Linked DNA regions of Drosophila melanogaster. The protein of the gene in region 1 interacts with the protein of each later gene in a biochemical or structural test. Each region holds a gene or a part of one and is shown in the gene's direction. Other genes may lie near its edges.

Region 1 (6,730 bases):
TGCCGATTAGAACTGGAGCGATAAATTATACAATTGCCGTGCGTGAGACCCGCGAAGAGAGCGGATCCTGGATGCTTGGAGCCATCGAACTGGGCTCCCAGTAGCCCAGCGATTCCCCCGGCTCATTGCGCTGACAATTACACTGATTATGTTGAATATATGAGGCCCATATTGGGCGGCCAGTGCCTCGGGGAGTGTTAGCTATTCGTCCACGTCCTGCCAAAATGGAATTCAAATCGCCAGTGCGCACATTGCAGCCCCACGAAGTATGCAACACAAAACGCCAGCCCAAAACTTCAGAAAACTATGCAAATTAGCGGAATAAATAAAAACGAATATTGCATAAACTTTAGACACTCTCAAAGTTGAAAATGATCGTGGTTATCTAACACTAATTTGGGTGAATTTTTACTATAATATAATAACAATAGTAATAGTGAATGTATCATTACTACTACTACAACTAAAAGAAGTACTCGTAGCTCACACAAAAAATTCGACAAACATGCATTCCTCGTCTGTTTGTTTTGTTATGACCTGTGCAGTTTGTTTAAAATTCTTGTGGCGCGGCATGAAAAATCAATTATGTTAGTTGAACTTTCCTAGCTAAACGCTAAACAATTGCGCATAATTACGAGCGTTGCGTTGGGGACGAAACCAAAACGAAACCCAAATGCGGACTGCATCGCATTTGCCGTTGCCGTTGCCTCAATTTGTGCATTTGCATAGCAAAAAGGGTTGTGGATTTCGGTGGGGGGAGTGGGGCTTCTTCCAGGGGCTGTGTGCCACAAAACAAGAAAGAACAACAATTAAGGTGGCAAATGGCAAAAGTTAATGGCCGAACAATTGAGGAAATTCACGTAAATGACTTCGGGGCCCTGCGGATACGGATTGGATTGGAATTGGGCGCATTCGCAAGAATGCAGGAAATGTTCGCTTTTAGAACTAGAAACTGCGGGCATTTCGGGAAATATGAGCAGAGGAAATGTTTTAAGGGGTTTGCTCGTTCCTCTGTAAGCATAATGTTAAATGAAATACCTTACGTAATCGGATATTCTAGCCTGCTAGTTATTACTTTTTGGATTCAGCACAAATTTAAATTTCGTAGACAGCGCGCCAAGTTAACAGCAGCACTAGTCAACACTGGACATATCAGTTAACAGCTCTGTTAACACCAGCCTAGGCTGTATATTGAGTGAATGTAAAACTGTAACTATTAGAAACTAAATAGTAAATGCAGTTAAATGTTTCAACAATAACTGAAGCAACAAGTCGTAACCAAATTGCTACCCAAACCTCAATCGGCTTCAAGTTAAAGTAAACTCTGCCCAATAGTGTCTCTCTATCGCACACAGAAGGCTAGACCAGACCCTTTAGAACGTAGTTTTTGAACAGAATACCTAAAATTACCAGTACCCCAGACCGACACGCAGCAACACGCGCCGTTTCGCGGCTCAAAGGCAGAGGGAATTTTCAAAAAGCGCGCCACACGATCAGCTGGCAACGACAATCGATAGTCCGGCGAAAGCAGGGCCGCGGGGCAGCACTGGCGACCGCAGCGATAGGCAGCAGCACCAATCGATAGATGGGCCGCTGAAGAAGGAGGAGAAGCAGAGGAGAAAAACAAAAACCAATTGTGAAAAGTGTAAAGTTTAGAGCGCAGCGCAATTGTGTGGCCAAAAGCGGAGCATAAACGAGCAGCCTGCCGCAACGACCTTTTCCACGACGCGCCAGCGGGAATTTGCACCTGCTGCATGCGAACGCACACACACACGCACCCACACACTCACGCAGCCAAATCGTCATTCCGTCGTCTATTTTTTGTTTTTTTGCGAAATCCAAGACGAAGGCGAATCCACAACAAATGCAGATTGGAGCTCGATTGGCTCGCGATTAGTGCCTAGTCACGCGGGATCAGCAAAGCAAAGCGAGGAGGCCAAAAGCCCGGAGAAGGATACGGGATACGGTTACGGATACATATAGGGAGCCATGTCCGTGCGGACGAAGGTTCTCGGCCTGGTGGACGTGATGATGCGCGTGCCACCGGTGATGGTCATCGATGAGATACTAAAGATGGACATGGGCATGCAGTCGTGGCTCTATCCGGACAAGGACAAGGCCAGTGGCGCACTTGCTACGCCCACAGAAGCGCCAGCGGTGCCATCCGGCCAGGATCCGTTCACCAGCATAAAGGAGTTGTTCTCCCACATGACCACCTCCGCCCAATCTGTGCTGGAACAGAGCATCGAGAAGGCCTCCGAGGCGGCCAAAACGCACGGCATGCTCAGCTCCGGTTTCAACTCGCTGATGAACGAGCTGTCCAAGGACCAAACACTGGCGGATGTGCTCAGCACCACCACGGTCAAGTTCGTTTTATGCGTGTTCGGTGAGTCATCTACAGGGGTTGCGCTTAGAACGGTCACATCTATATATCTGCTTAGAATTCTAATGCTCAGCATATAAGGTCAGGGATGAGATTTAACTACATTTAACTACACGTCATGGTCAAGGATTAGTCAGTAACTTTCATAATAACTTAGATATGAGTTAAATTGAGATAACAAGTAATCGCAGAATCGAATATAATGCTTACTCAAGCAAAAAGGCCATGTATGTATATGAATGAATAGTTAGTTACCCCTTAAAAAGCGTGAATTGCAAGCTTGAGCATTCCCATTGAACCCAAAACGTAAACACAGGCAATTAAGTTATTTCGAGTTCATTGTTTTCGATCTGCCTGCGAAGTCATCCAGAATTCCAAGGGCCGCTTATTGGGCGCACTTTGAACGCCAGCGAAACGTAGATATATGCCTGACTCACAATCTGTGTGCTTTCTTGCAGCTTTCCTATCCGCCGCGTGCATCTTCATGCTGTGGACCCGGCACCTGGTGATGGTCTACATGTTCCTCACCTCGCTGGGCCTCACCTTCCTGTCCTACTGGTCGAACGTGAGTGCGCTGGCGCTGACGGAGCGCAGTCCCAGCATGGTGGAGGACCTCATGTCACTGAACACCACTAGGCTGCTGGACTCGGGCGGGGTGGTCATGTCGCTGGCGCCGCATCTGATGGCCCAGTGGTTCATGGGCATGCTGTTCGCCTACATTCACCTGGGACCGAGGTTCGAACATGTCCAGAGATCGATGCCCATCATCTTCGCTAGTCCAATTCTGTTGGCCATGCTGCCGCTGCCGGCGAAGGTGGTGCAACACCTGCCCGTGGTGGCCGTTTTCACGCCCATCATCCTCACGAAGATCACGCTGATGCAGAGCGCCATGGAGGCCAGTCGCACGGTCTACAACGGATACCAGTACGCCATGAACTTTGTGTCCAACTTTGGACTGTCGGCGCTCATTGAAAACGAATGGCAGAGGCTCAATGTGCCCAACGTTCTGAGGGTTTTTTGGACCATCAGGTGGGTTTCGTTTCCGAAGCGGTTCATTAATTTATGTTAATCATGCACGTGGAACATTCTAATTCTTGCATTTGGAGCGTTAATGTGTCAATGGAACAAGGCCATCAATCACAGAATTGAATATCCATTCCGAGACTTATGTTATTAATGGCCGAAGCAAACGGATTAACTGGTTTAAATGCATAATGATCGAATAGAACACCCTGCTTTTCAGACTAATCCAAGGCGGCTATGCCCTGGCCACGACGGAATCGGATGAGCCCCTGGATCTAATGACGGCCACACAGAAGCTGCTGGTCGACGGCTGTGAGACTATGACGGCGGTGCTGGGCATGACGGGCGTCATCTCGATGTTCTGCCACTACATCGGACGCGGCTTCCAGTGGTACCTGCTCACCTACGACGACGAGGAGAAGTCGCTGGGCACTGTCTCCGCAGTGCTCTTCTACATCCTCGCTCTGCAGACGGGCCTGACCTCACTGTCGCCGGACAAACGCTTCATCAGGCTGTGCCGCAATCTGTGCCTGCTGATGACCGCTCTGCTGCACTTCCTGCACAACATCGTGTCGCCCATCTTGATGTCGCTCAGTGCGGCACGGAATCCCTCGCGGAAGCGCCATGTGCGCGCCCTCTCCGTCTGCGCGTTCCTCGTGGTGTTGTCAGTGTCTCTGCTCTACCACCTCTGGTCGCAGCAATCCATCTCCACCTGGCTGCTAGCGGTTACCGCCTTCTCTGTGGAGGTCGTCGTCAAGGTGCGTGCGAATGCGATATGTACGCTTCAAGAGCTACAGCTACTACTTCTCCCGCAGGTTCTCGTTTCGCTGGCCACCTACACGCTCTTCCTGCTGGACGCGCGTCGGCAGTTCTTCTGGGAGAAGCTGGACGACTACCTGTACTATGTGCGCGCGTTCGGCAACTCAGTGGAGTTCTGCTTCGGCATCCTGCTGTTCATCAACGGTGCTTGGATTCTGATCTTCGAGTCTGGTAAGTTGGAGCGCAGCGTGTCCCGTCCTTGTTACATTAGCACATCAGTAAGCGCGAGTGATCATCACCGCATTCCATTGGCATCTGATCTAGCCATCTCGATATCATCGAGCCCATATTGTCCGCGTCCAGCTTTTCTGTTCTATGTGTGCATGTAATATTTTTATTTGGTTGATTTTGTGTACCGATAACTATAACTTGATAGCCCAAAATGCTACAGGCGGCGGCATCAGAGCGATCATGATGTGCATCCACGCCTACTTCAATATCTGGTGCGAGGCGCGGGCGGGCTGGTCGGTCTTCATGAAGCGGCGTTCGGCGGTCCACAAGATCTCAGCCCTGCCAGAGGCAACTCCCGCCCAGCTGCAGGCATTCGACGATGTCTGCGCCATCTGCTATCAGGTGCGTATTGTATTGTATTGCATGCAATATTGCACGTGACTCAACTATCGTTTTGCAGGAAATGTATTCCGCCAAGATCACGCGGTGTCGCCACTTCTTCCACGGCGTTTGCCTGCGCAAATGGCTGTACGTTCAGGATCGTTGCCCCCTGTGCCACGAGATCATGATGTACACGGACAAGGCGGATGAGAATGCGCCGGAGGCGGAGCCAGCGCCAGCTGCCCAGGCCGAGCAGCCGATGCGGATATACCCGCGAGACGTGAGTAACAAATGGGGATACTCTGTTGTTAGTCTCAATGTACATCTATTCCCTTGAACATGCAGGACGCCAACAACGCAGCTGCGCAGCGACGCTCTCCGGAGCGTGCTCCAGTCGAAGCATCAGAACAGGCGCCCGCCACCAGCTCCTCCAGCGCAGCGGCGACAATCGGGGCGGAGGCAGTGTCGGCCATCGTGGAGTCGGCAGCGGCTGTGGGCGAGGCGCGTTCGCTGGTCAGCGTAGCCAGCAGCAGCAGCGCCACTCACCGAATCAGCGCCAGCGGGAGCAGCGACAGCAGCTACATGACCGCATCCGCCCAATCGCCGCCGCCGACGGCCACCTCGGCTGCTGCTGTGGCCACGGCGGCGGCCAGCAATACGACGCACATGTTCCGGATGTCGCAGGACCAGCAGTAGTCGCATATAGGGTAGGCTAGGACCGAATCGAACGGAACGGGAGCGCTCGGCGTACCTTGCGTTTCTTATATATATATATATCTTACGACTTGGAAACGTTCTGTGCGTTAGTGTACTTATGTATAAATGCAAATCTTTGTAGCGACCCAAGGCTTCTCTATTCCCCCTGCCCAAAGAGCAATCTATTCGTAACACACCAGCACACCAATGCCCAGCACTCGACCACAGCACCCACCTTCGATCCTATATCGTCATAGGCACAGACATTACGTATGTATAACTCACGCAGCTATGCTTAACTAAATTATATACCATGCATATAATAGCTGAACGCTGATCGGCAATGAGACGATAATTCAAACGGAGATGATCTACATATGTACGTTAAGTTTATGGTAAAAAGTCGATTCAAAAATGTTGAAACATACACACACAAAAAAAAAATTAAATTAGCATTAAGTTTGCAATGGATGAAAGCAGTGTAAAAATCATCAGCAAAACGCTAAAACGCAAAAACGATAAACATTTTATGTGGTGAAGTCTGAAAATGATTTAATCAAGTTACCAAGTAAATCTAGTTAAAAACAAAACACGAATCAACGCGGATTGAAATGATTAAAAAAAAAAAAAAAATGATTTAAAAACGAGAGCAAGGCGAAAAGTTGCGTTGTATAATTTTGTAATGTAAAAATAACTTGTATAAGCAAATCCTTGTTTTGTTTTTATTTAAATTACCTATGTACGTTTATTTAGATTTAAAGTAATTAAACGAAAGAAGCGGAAAATACAGAAAACATTAAAACACTCTTATTGTAAGCGAAAACACACAGAAACATTGCTTCTCCTCCGGCCCTGTTGTGGGTAAATCCCATCCAGAGCTCTGCAACCGGGTAAGTGCAAGCTACCAATCCTCTCTTGGCTTTCAGCTCTGAACCTCAGAGGCTCAGTTGAAAATCAAATCGTTGTAGTTGCGGAGCAGGTGATAGGGAGACACACGGCAGCAGGTGGTGGTGCGCACCACGGTGATGCGATCGGCACGCTCAAAGTTGGCCTTGACCGTCTCATAGTAGCGACCATCGCTGGAAGCGAAATATTGATGTTAATCCCGCATAGAAATAGGAGTCTGATGTAGACCCACCTGAGCACCATGCAGCGCAGCTTGAGGCACTTGACGCGCAGAATATCGATGGCCTTCTGGCTCTTGTCGGAGAAGCGCAGGTTGTCCGGATCCCAGCGCAGCTCCAGCCGCTCCAAGTT
Region 2 (3,736 bases), about 13 Mb from region 1:
TGATGGGGTGGTCAGGTCGATCAGGAACATGGACGAATCCCGCTTGGTTTTTTTTGAGGTGGATGGCGTGCTAAAGTCCATTAGATCTCGGCTGCAGCTGTCTTCGTTTAGTTCAGAGAGCACATTGCCCTTGGGGGTGCTGTATACGCTCTTGGGCGTGGAAACAGCCAAAGACGTCGTGGTGTAGCCAGGTTTTCGAACACATGAAAAGGATTTCTCGATCTTCACGCCAGTCTCGCGCGGCGAATAAGAGGTAATAACCACGTCGGAGATGGCGCACAGCCTTAGTAGCTTTTGGTGGCTACCTGGTGGCGTTGCGGTATTCTCCTTATTCTGCGTAGCCTCCAGAAGATTTACTTTGGGGGACTCGTAAGCTGTCTCCTCTGTGCTGCGCTGAATTGATTCATTCAGTGAGACATCCTCCAAGTGAGACTCACTCTGATCACGAGACTCTATAGAAGTATTTCCTTCGTCGTCCGAATTGATGCTGTAGTGAAAACTGAAAAGGTATAAGCAGAGATAAGGTTTTATGAGGACTATTAACAGGCAGACAACACATGCTTGCAGTAGGGACTTTTTCCTATTGTTGTTGCCCAAAGACATTTTAGGGGTTGGCCAGGTAGTCGGTTAGGGGTCTGCCTGCTGTTTTCACTTACTTGTGAACTGTCAGGCGTTTTTCGGCTTGTAGACGATGCGATTGCTAAATCAAATAAAAATGGGGAAATTGTAGGACTTGGAATACTGTACTATCTGGAACAGATGGCGGCTATTACCTTCAATGAAGGGCAGGAGTTTGAGGCCTGTTCGTTGGGCAATAGGCGTTCTGGGGTGCATGGGGCATCCTGCACCTCGGAGGTCTTGGGGAACTCCCACGTGTAGACCTTGTCTCGAATGGTAATCTTGCCACCGTGTAGCAAAGGACGCTTGCCTGCAGCGTGGATGGCCACGTCGTTGAGATGAATGGGGTCTCCGCTGGACTTGTTGTATATGATGACCTAAGGGCGGAAGAAGCAGTATGTTAGGGCGGTTAAGGGGGATTCCTGCCATCCAGACTCACCCTGCCGAAGGCATCGCAGTTTATTTCGCAAATTAGACGCTCCTCCTCTGGCCCCTCCAGGATGAGGTCGCAATTGTAGTAGGAGCCCACCTGGAAGGTGCGCCCTTTGGCTGCCAGAACCACGGTTTTACCATTTTCGTCTTCGTAGCGCAACCTACCGCCATCCAGCGACATTTTCCAAGCGGCGTCGCAAATGCGGCTTGGGTGCGGGGAAAACGAATACCGAAGCGAGCACTTTGAAAAGCCGCAAAGCTATTGGGAATAATACGGTAAATGCACGTACACAAAACACCCACAAACTATTCACTGATTTCTTTCACACTTTTCCACCAGACACTGTTTTTACGGCCCACATCACGAGCTTGCCAAAGTTAATTGTAGCGAAAACTCTGTGCAGGAATTTTTTTGCAATGGACGCGCAAGCCCTGCCAACCTGCTTTTAATGCGCCGGCTTATGCGTTACATTTAAAATTCGGGGTGCAGGAACTGACAACTTACTTGAATTAAAAGTGGTTTATATTATGTGATTATTAATAATGGTTAATCTCAAGAAGTGAAAAGAAAGATACAGATTACAGATACTGCGATGAATCATTTTGTCACTATGAAATAAGGTTTTAAGTTTTTTTTAGTCAAAAATGCTGCAAATTAGAGTGCGTATCGTAAACAGAAAAATTAAATTAAAAAACTTTCCTTGGTAAAAAATTAACGATTAAAAATACATTTTATTTATTAAACAAATAAATTGTTAATATAGATAAATTTTAAATTTTTTAATCAATATTTTAATTTCTTAACTTATAATAATCGATTTATAAAAAATATCGATTGTACCTTCATGAAATTGATTGTACAGATGGTACCGACAAGTTCATCTCTAGAATTGAGCCGGAAAACAAAAACTTGCAACAAAAGACTACAATTTTCGGCATAAGTACAATCACAATGGACTCCGACGCCGCACAAAAGACCTGGGAGCTGGAGAACAACATCCAGACGTTGCCCAGTTGTGACGAGATCTTTCGCTACGACGCCGAACAGCAGCGGCAGATCATCGATGCGAAGCCCTGGGAGAAAGATCCCCACTTCTTTAAGGACATTAAGATCTCGGCTCTGGCGCTCCTAAAGATGGTGATGCACGCTCGCTCTGGCGGTACTTTGGAGGTGATGGGTCTAATGCTTGGCAAGGTAGAGGACAACACAATGGTGAGTTATTGAATGTAAAAAAGGTCCTCAATTTATAAGTCATTCCCGTGCAGATTGTCATGGATGCATTTGCACTGCCAGTGGAGGGCACTGAAACCCGCGTCAATGCCCAGGCACAAGCGTACGAGTACATGACCGCCTACATGGAAGCGGCCAAAGAGGTGGGACGCATGGAACACGCCGTGGGCTGGTATCACAGCCATCCCGGTTACGGTTGCTGGTTGTCCGGCATCGATGTGTCCACCCAGATGCTCAACCAGACATACCAGGAGCCATTCGTGGCCATTGTGGTTGATCCGGTGCGCACTGTTTCCGCTGGCAAGGTGTGTCTGGGTGCATTCCGCACGTATCCAAAAGGTTATAAGCCACCAAACGAGGAGCCCTCGGAGTATCAGACCATCCCGCTGAATAAGATCGAAGACTTTGGAGTCCACTGCAAGCAGTACTATCCCTTGGAAATTAGCTACTTCAAGTCTGCTCTGGACCGCAGGCTCCTCGACTCTCTGTGGAACAAATACTGGGTAAACACACTGGGCAGCTCGGGTCTGCTCACCAACACAGAGTACACCACCGGTCAGATCATGGATCTCTCCGAGAAGCTGGAGCAGAGTGAGAACTTTTTAGGTCGCGGTACATAATGGGTCGATTTAGGAATTGTGCAAATAATTTACCCGCTTTATTATCCACAGGAACCGATGTCAATGAGAAGCGTTCGGAGGATAAGCTGTCCAAGGCCACCCGAGACTGCAGCCGCTCCACCATTGAACTGATACACGGCTTGATGGCTCAGATTGTTAAGGACAAACTTTTCAACAAGGTCGGACTGGGCAAATAGTTCAACACTAAAATTCGCAATGAATTTTAAAATGCATTGTGAATTTTCTTTTCATTTCCCTGGGAAATATTTAAGTAAGTCAAGCTTATCCAAAAGAAAAAGGAAATTATAAAACCGCCTCATAGGCTGATGAAAAAAATCTCAAACGCTTTTACTTTTAAAATGGGTTCTTTTTTGTAGAGAAACTGTTTTCGTTATTTATGTATTAGACGACGGAAGGCATAGTAAAAGTTGAAACTTTTATTCGCCTGGACGAAAAACAGCCGATCCACCATTTATTATATTCTTTCAGATAAACAAACCTTTTTATTGTTAAATAAAAAACGCTTCTGCATTTGACATTTATAGAATATAAAATAATTGGACATGGCGATAAAACATTGTCGAAAATGTGATGCTTGGGTAAATCAATTGGTCTAGAATTATGTAACCCGAGCCGGTCTCAAAGCAACAACTGAAGCCCACCGACTGAAACATTCCCTAATTGCTTCGGGATTTTTAAAGTAAATATTACACAGCCTGGTTAGCTATACAAGCCAAGCCGCGAATGCGTCCCTCTCATCAATCAAATGGTTTCATTATTTTCATCGTTTGGTTTATTTTACAACTTGTATTCCCCGATTGCGTGTTTGCCGATG
Region 3 (3,908 bases), on another chromosome or scaffold:
AACCAGGTCCGGTGTATATGGATATGGTTTAAAAACCGGTAAAAAACGTGATTACGTAACAGTGATCCTAAAGTAACAGCTCCTAAGTGATCCTAAATCGAAAGTGAAAACTGAACGACCCCGAGTTCAGGGGCAGCATGGCGTTTGGGTACAATGTTCATCTGTCAGACCCATACATATTACGTACTAATATAATTCATCCGTCTGGTAGACCCTGACCAACAAGTTTCTGTCCGCTAATACGATGCGTATATATGTTTGTCTACTCGGTTTAAGAAGCGACAGTCCTTTTGGGAAGAAATTAAAAGTCTAGGAAAGTAAAGTTCAACACATTTATTTAACATTATTTATTGACTTGGGGGGTGGGCGGCGATGTACTCCAGAGAACGCTGGATGGCCTCTGGAATTGGTGGTGGGGTGGGCAGAGGAGGGTTGGCAGACACCACCTGGTAACCGTTGGCATCGGCGATATATTGGATGGACACTGGCACATTTTCGGGAGATGTCCACGACTGGCTTCCCTTCACCACCCACTCTTCGCCGTTAAGGTCACCCTTCTGTTGCACATTGACAGAGTTGTCCAGCTCAACAGCGTAAGCAAAGCCGTCAACATTCACTTGCTGCTCGGCACGGAGAACATTGGCATCTTCGTTGGCGAGGGCGACGGCCAACAGGCAGGCGAAAGCAATCTACAAGGATTGTAAATAACAAATCAGCTAGAATCATTAAAGGATCAATTTGCGATAAAGCCACTTACGAAGAACTTCATGTTGATTGTTGAAAGACTTGAGAAGGCTAACTGATATCGAACTGGAACTTCTGCCTGCTTTTTATATGATACTGATGCTCAGCTTACCTCTGCCGGTGGCGCCCAAGTTCAAGTCTAGAGACGCGTAGGATTTGATTTCATTAATTATGCATTAGATAAGACAAAATACATGTTTATGTGTGCCTCGTTATTGCCGTTCAGTTAAAGTTCGCATTGAATCCCATAATAATGCCCGAAACAGACGGAAGACGAGTTTGACGCGGAGACATTAACTAACTATGTGTCAACTAGCAGACACATTGTAAAGATATAATTAATTCTCGAATTATTTTTGTCAAAAATGTCGAATTAGCATAATATTTGGCTACGGCTAGCCAGCCAACGACCGGTTTGCGTATCTCCGGTGCGTATCTCTCTTGAGTCTAGCTTGGAGCGGGCACTTGGCCAGGCCACCTTGACATCCCTCCTAGAAAGACGTATGCATTTGATAAATAATTCGCTTTATTATTCGTTCAGTATTAATCTACAGCTAGGCAGTGCCGCTCATCAGTTTCTGGACAGCGCGATCGAACTTCCTGCAGATATAAAAGTAACGTATTAAGAGCAACTTATATATTCTTTAAGGAGAAGCCCGCTTACTTTGAAGTCAGCGATTCGCCGGGAATGTAAAAGGGATTGCAGATGGCATCGGTGTAGAGCAAGTGGAGATTTCGGAAGATCTGGAAGATACAGAGGGTAGGAGGTATTTGGGGCTTTCATTTAGATAGTTAGATTGGATACCCACTGCTCGAACTTCGTTTTCCCGAAGGGCAACGTTGCTGGAGTCGATGACCACTATGAATTTCACCCGAGTGTTGGTCACAAAGCCGTATCTGTAATGAAATCAACCACCAATCAGTTGCAAATTCACCAGCATAACTACACCCAAGTACATTTTGTGGTTCTCTGTCGAGTAGAGCAGTCCCAGGTACAGCTCCTTGGACTCCGGAGCACCCTTGCCAATCAGGCACTTCTCCTCCACGACGTCTAAGGCGGCGTTAACATGATATTGCAATTCCAGTTCCTGCTCCATATCGGATGTGGTCAGGTACAGGGGGGCGTTCTGTGGGGAATTTGTCATGCAATTAATTGTATTCAAATGAAAAATAAAACTCACATCCTTGCCAATAACTGCTATGCAAAATGCCATATTTTGTTATTTCTTGGTGTTTATTTGTTTACTTTTCGCGAGAGGCGGAGGCAAATCAGCTGATTTACCCCTTATCGATAAGACATTCATCGAAAGTGTGGCCAGCTGCAGTGACACGCAGCAGGAAAAATGTTACCGTAACTGATAAGAAGTGAATTTTATCTATACTTGTTGTTAGCTTGTTGTGATTTGATTCAATCCAATTCCCACGGCTTGTGCAAACGTAAAACAACGAAAATTGATTTGGCAGCCATTGCAGATCGGCTTAGCACCCTGCTGGAGATGGCGCTCCAAATAGCGCAGAACAACCGCGACGGCCAGCAGCTGGTGGGCGCTGATCAGGGAAAGGTGGAGGTGTACGTGCTGTTTGCAAACACCACCTATCGCACCCTGGATCTGTACTGGGTGTGCGAGCGGGAGCGGGAGAACATGTACCTTACCCTCAAGCCCTTCGAGGAGGTGCGGGTGAACACGTTCACCACACACAGCTGGCTGTTCCGGGATTACTACACGGGCGAACGGATGCACGTACGCTCGCAGAGGATCTTTCAGCCGATTCGGGTGCGGGTACCCAAGAGCCAGCAGAGTCCGGATCAGCTGGTTGACGTACGCAGCGAAGTGCTGATCCACTTTCCGATGAGATCGCTGCGCGAAAACTGCCTCTGGCTGGTCGCCCGCTGGCTGATCCGGACGAGCAACGCGCCACGGAGGATTATCCACGGATACCACATACCCTCGACGCTGAAGCAACAGCTGCTCAGCCTGCTGACCTGCATCGAGTCCTATTCCCGAGTGGCGGGCACGCGACGTCGGCGTTAGGAGCACACTCCTAGTTGTTAGTTAAGAGGGCGGGTAATCATCTTAGGGACTGAGAGACAGGCTTGATTTCCAAATAATTTAATAACTTTAATTGATTTCCATCCTGGTTTTCGATTTTCGCTTATTACTTATGTACAAATTGGCTTGCATAGAGCTCTTTACAAGTTGGGCTACTACCATTGCATTGATTTTTCTGTATATTTAACAGATTTCTTATACCTATGTATGTTCTATGTAAATAATTATGTATAAACCTAATGTGAAACAAGTGTGAATATTACATACATACATATATGCGCAATACTCTAGGTCTAGTTGCTTCAGATGCAAATACGATTTAATGGTATGTCTGCAGTTACTCCTTTGCAATGCTTATCTACGTGTGTCGCAAGCCTAATTGTTATAAGTCTGAATCTGAAGTACATATTTATTCCTAACGAGAAGTGAACAAACAAAAGTACTCCGGTGCACTTTTAAATTTAAAGTTAACGCTCGTACAGATTCTCCTTGAATGTGTTTGTGTTTGTCCACGAGTCGAGTCGAGAAGAGATGAGACGAATCGCAGGTTAACTCAAATATATTGCAAAATCAACTTATAAAAATATAAATTGTTAATCGATCTGCTCAATCTCGTTCTCATTCAATAATGCATCGGTACTGCTTCGGTTAGGCGGGAGATCACTTGCCAGCGTTCAATACTTGCGCGTCACGCGCTCCAAGCTATCCCCGATCGAACCTATGGGGCGGATATATATAAGCACAACTCTCGGTTAGGCAATAGCAATTGCAGAAATCAAGTATGCGTTGTGTTTGTGATAGGTGTTCTTGTGTTGTTCAATGCGTGGGCTCTCTTATTTACCATCGTAGTTGAAATTCTGTTTGGTCTTGTACTGAAACGTTAGATCGGTCGACTGCTTCCAGATAAAGTGGCGCACCGTGCGCAGGTCCATGTTGGGGTCCACAACCTTTAAAGGAAAGGCGGTGAACAAGGTCCTTTAAATGAGATTTGTCCATTTGTCTTACCACATCGTTACACCACAGTTCAATTCGTTCCTCAGCTGGCAGTTGGGATCCCTCCGAATTAGCATCGCTCTGGCTATTCTGCAGTGAATTGTTAGCATTGCCCCCACT

The links.
Region 2: the proteins of Trc8 (region 1) and CSN5 form a complex in vitro, tested with the Drosophila melanogaster proteins (2 studies listed by BioGRID).
Region 3: the proteins of Trc8 (region 1) and Vhl form a complex in vitro, tested with the Drosophila melanogaster proteins (one study listed by BioGRID).

Annotation. Positions count from the first base shown.
Region 1 is NT_033777.3:29,498,385-29,505,114, reverse strand, and holds Trc8 (TRC8 ring finger protein), read left to right. Parts: upstream 1-1,565; 5' UTR 1,566-1,989; coding exon 1,990-2,386; intron 2,387-2,841; coding exon 2,842-3,412; intron 3,413-3,626; coding exon 3,627-4,164; intron 4,165-4,221; coding exon 4,222-4,396; intron 4,397-4,601; coding exon 4,602-4,798; intron 4,799-4,856; coding exon 4,857-5,057; intron 5,058-5,122; coding exon 5,123-5,473; 3' UTR 5,474-6,090; downstream 6,091-6,730. Other genes in the region: FipoQ (F-box involved in polyQ pathogenesis), read right to left, coding at 6,417-6,552, 6,612-6,730. UniProt on the Drosophila melanogaster protein: Plays a role in growth inhibition that is dependent upon COP9 signalosome subunits CSN5 and CSN6. May modulate signalosome levels or compartmentalization. Probably functions in the same or a related pathway to VHL during early midline development.
Region 2 is NT_033777.3:16,468,177-16,471,912, forward strand, and holds CSN5 (COP9 signalosome subunit 5), read left to right. Parts: upstream 1-1,922; 5' UTR 1,923-2,002; coding exon 2,003-2,263; intron 2,264-2,316; coding exon 2,317-2,893; intron 2,894-2,952; coding exon 2,953-3,098; 3' UTR 3,099-3,230; downstream 3,231-3,736. Other genes in the region: CG42232 (uncharacterized protein), read right to left, coding at 1-499, 657-700, 774-995, 1,058-1,231. UniProt on the Drosophila melanogaster protein: Probable protease subunit of the COP9 signalosome complex (CSN), a complex involved in various cellular and developmental processes.
Region 3 is NT_033778.4:11,277,638-11,281,545, forward strand, and holds Vhl (von Hippel-Lindau), read left to right. Parts: upstream 1-2,087; 5' UTR 2,088-2,240; coding exon 2,241-2,777; 3' UTR 2,778-3,396; downstream 3,397-3,908. Other genes in the region: Cpr47Eg (cuticular protein 47Eg), read right to left, coding at 348-689, 758-769; CG9067 (uncharacterized protein), read right to left, coding at 1,299-1,344, 1,409-1,488, 1,554-1,641, 1,702-1,871, 1,926-1,958; CG9062 (uncharacterized protein), read right to left, coding at 3,470-3,513, 3,637-3,742, 3,801-3,908. UniProt on the Drosophila melanogaster protein: Involved in development of tracheal vasculature. Probably involved in halting cell migration at the end of vascular tube outgrowth.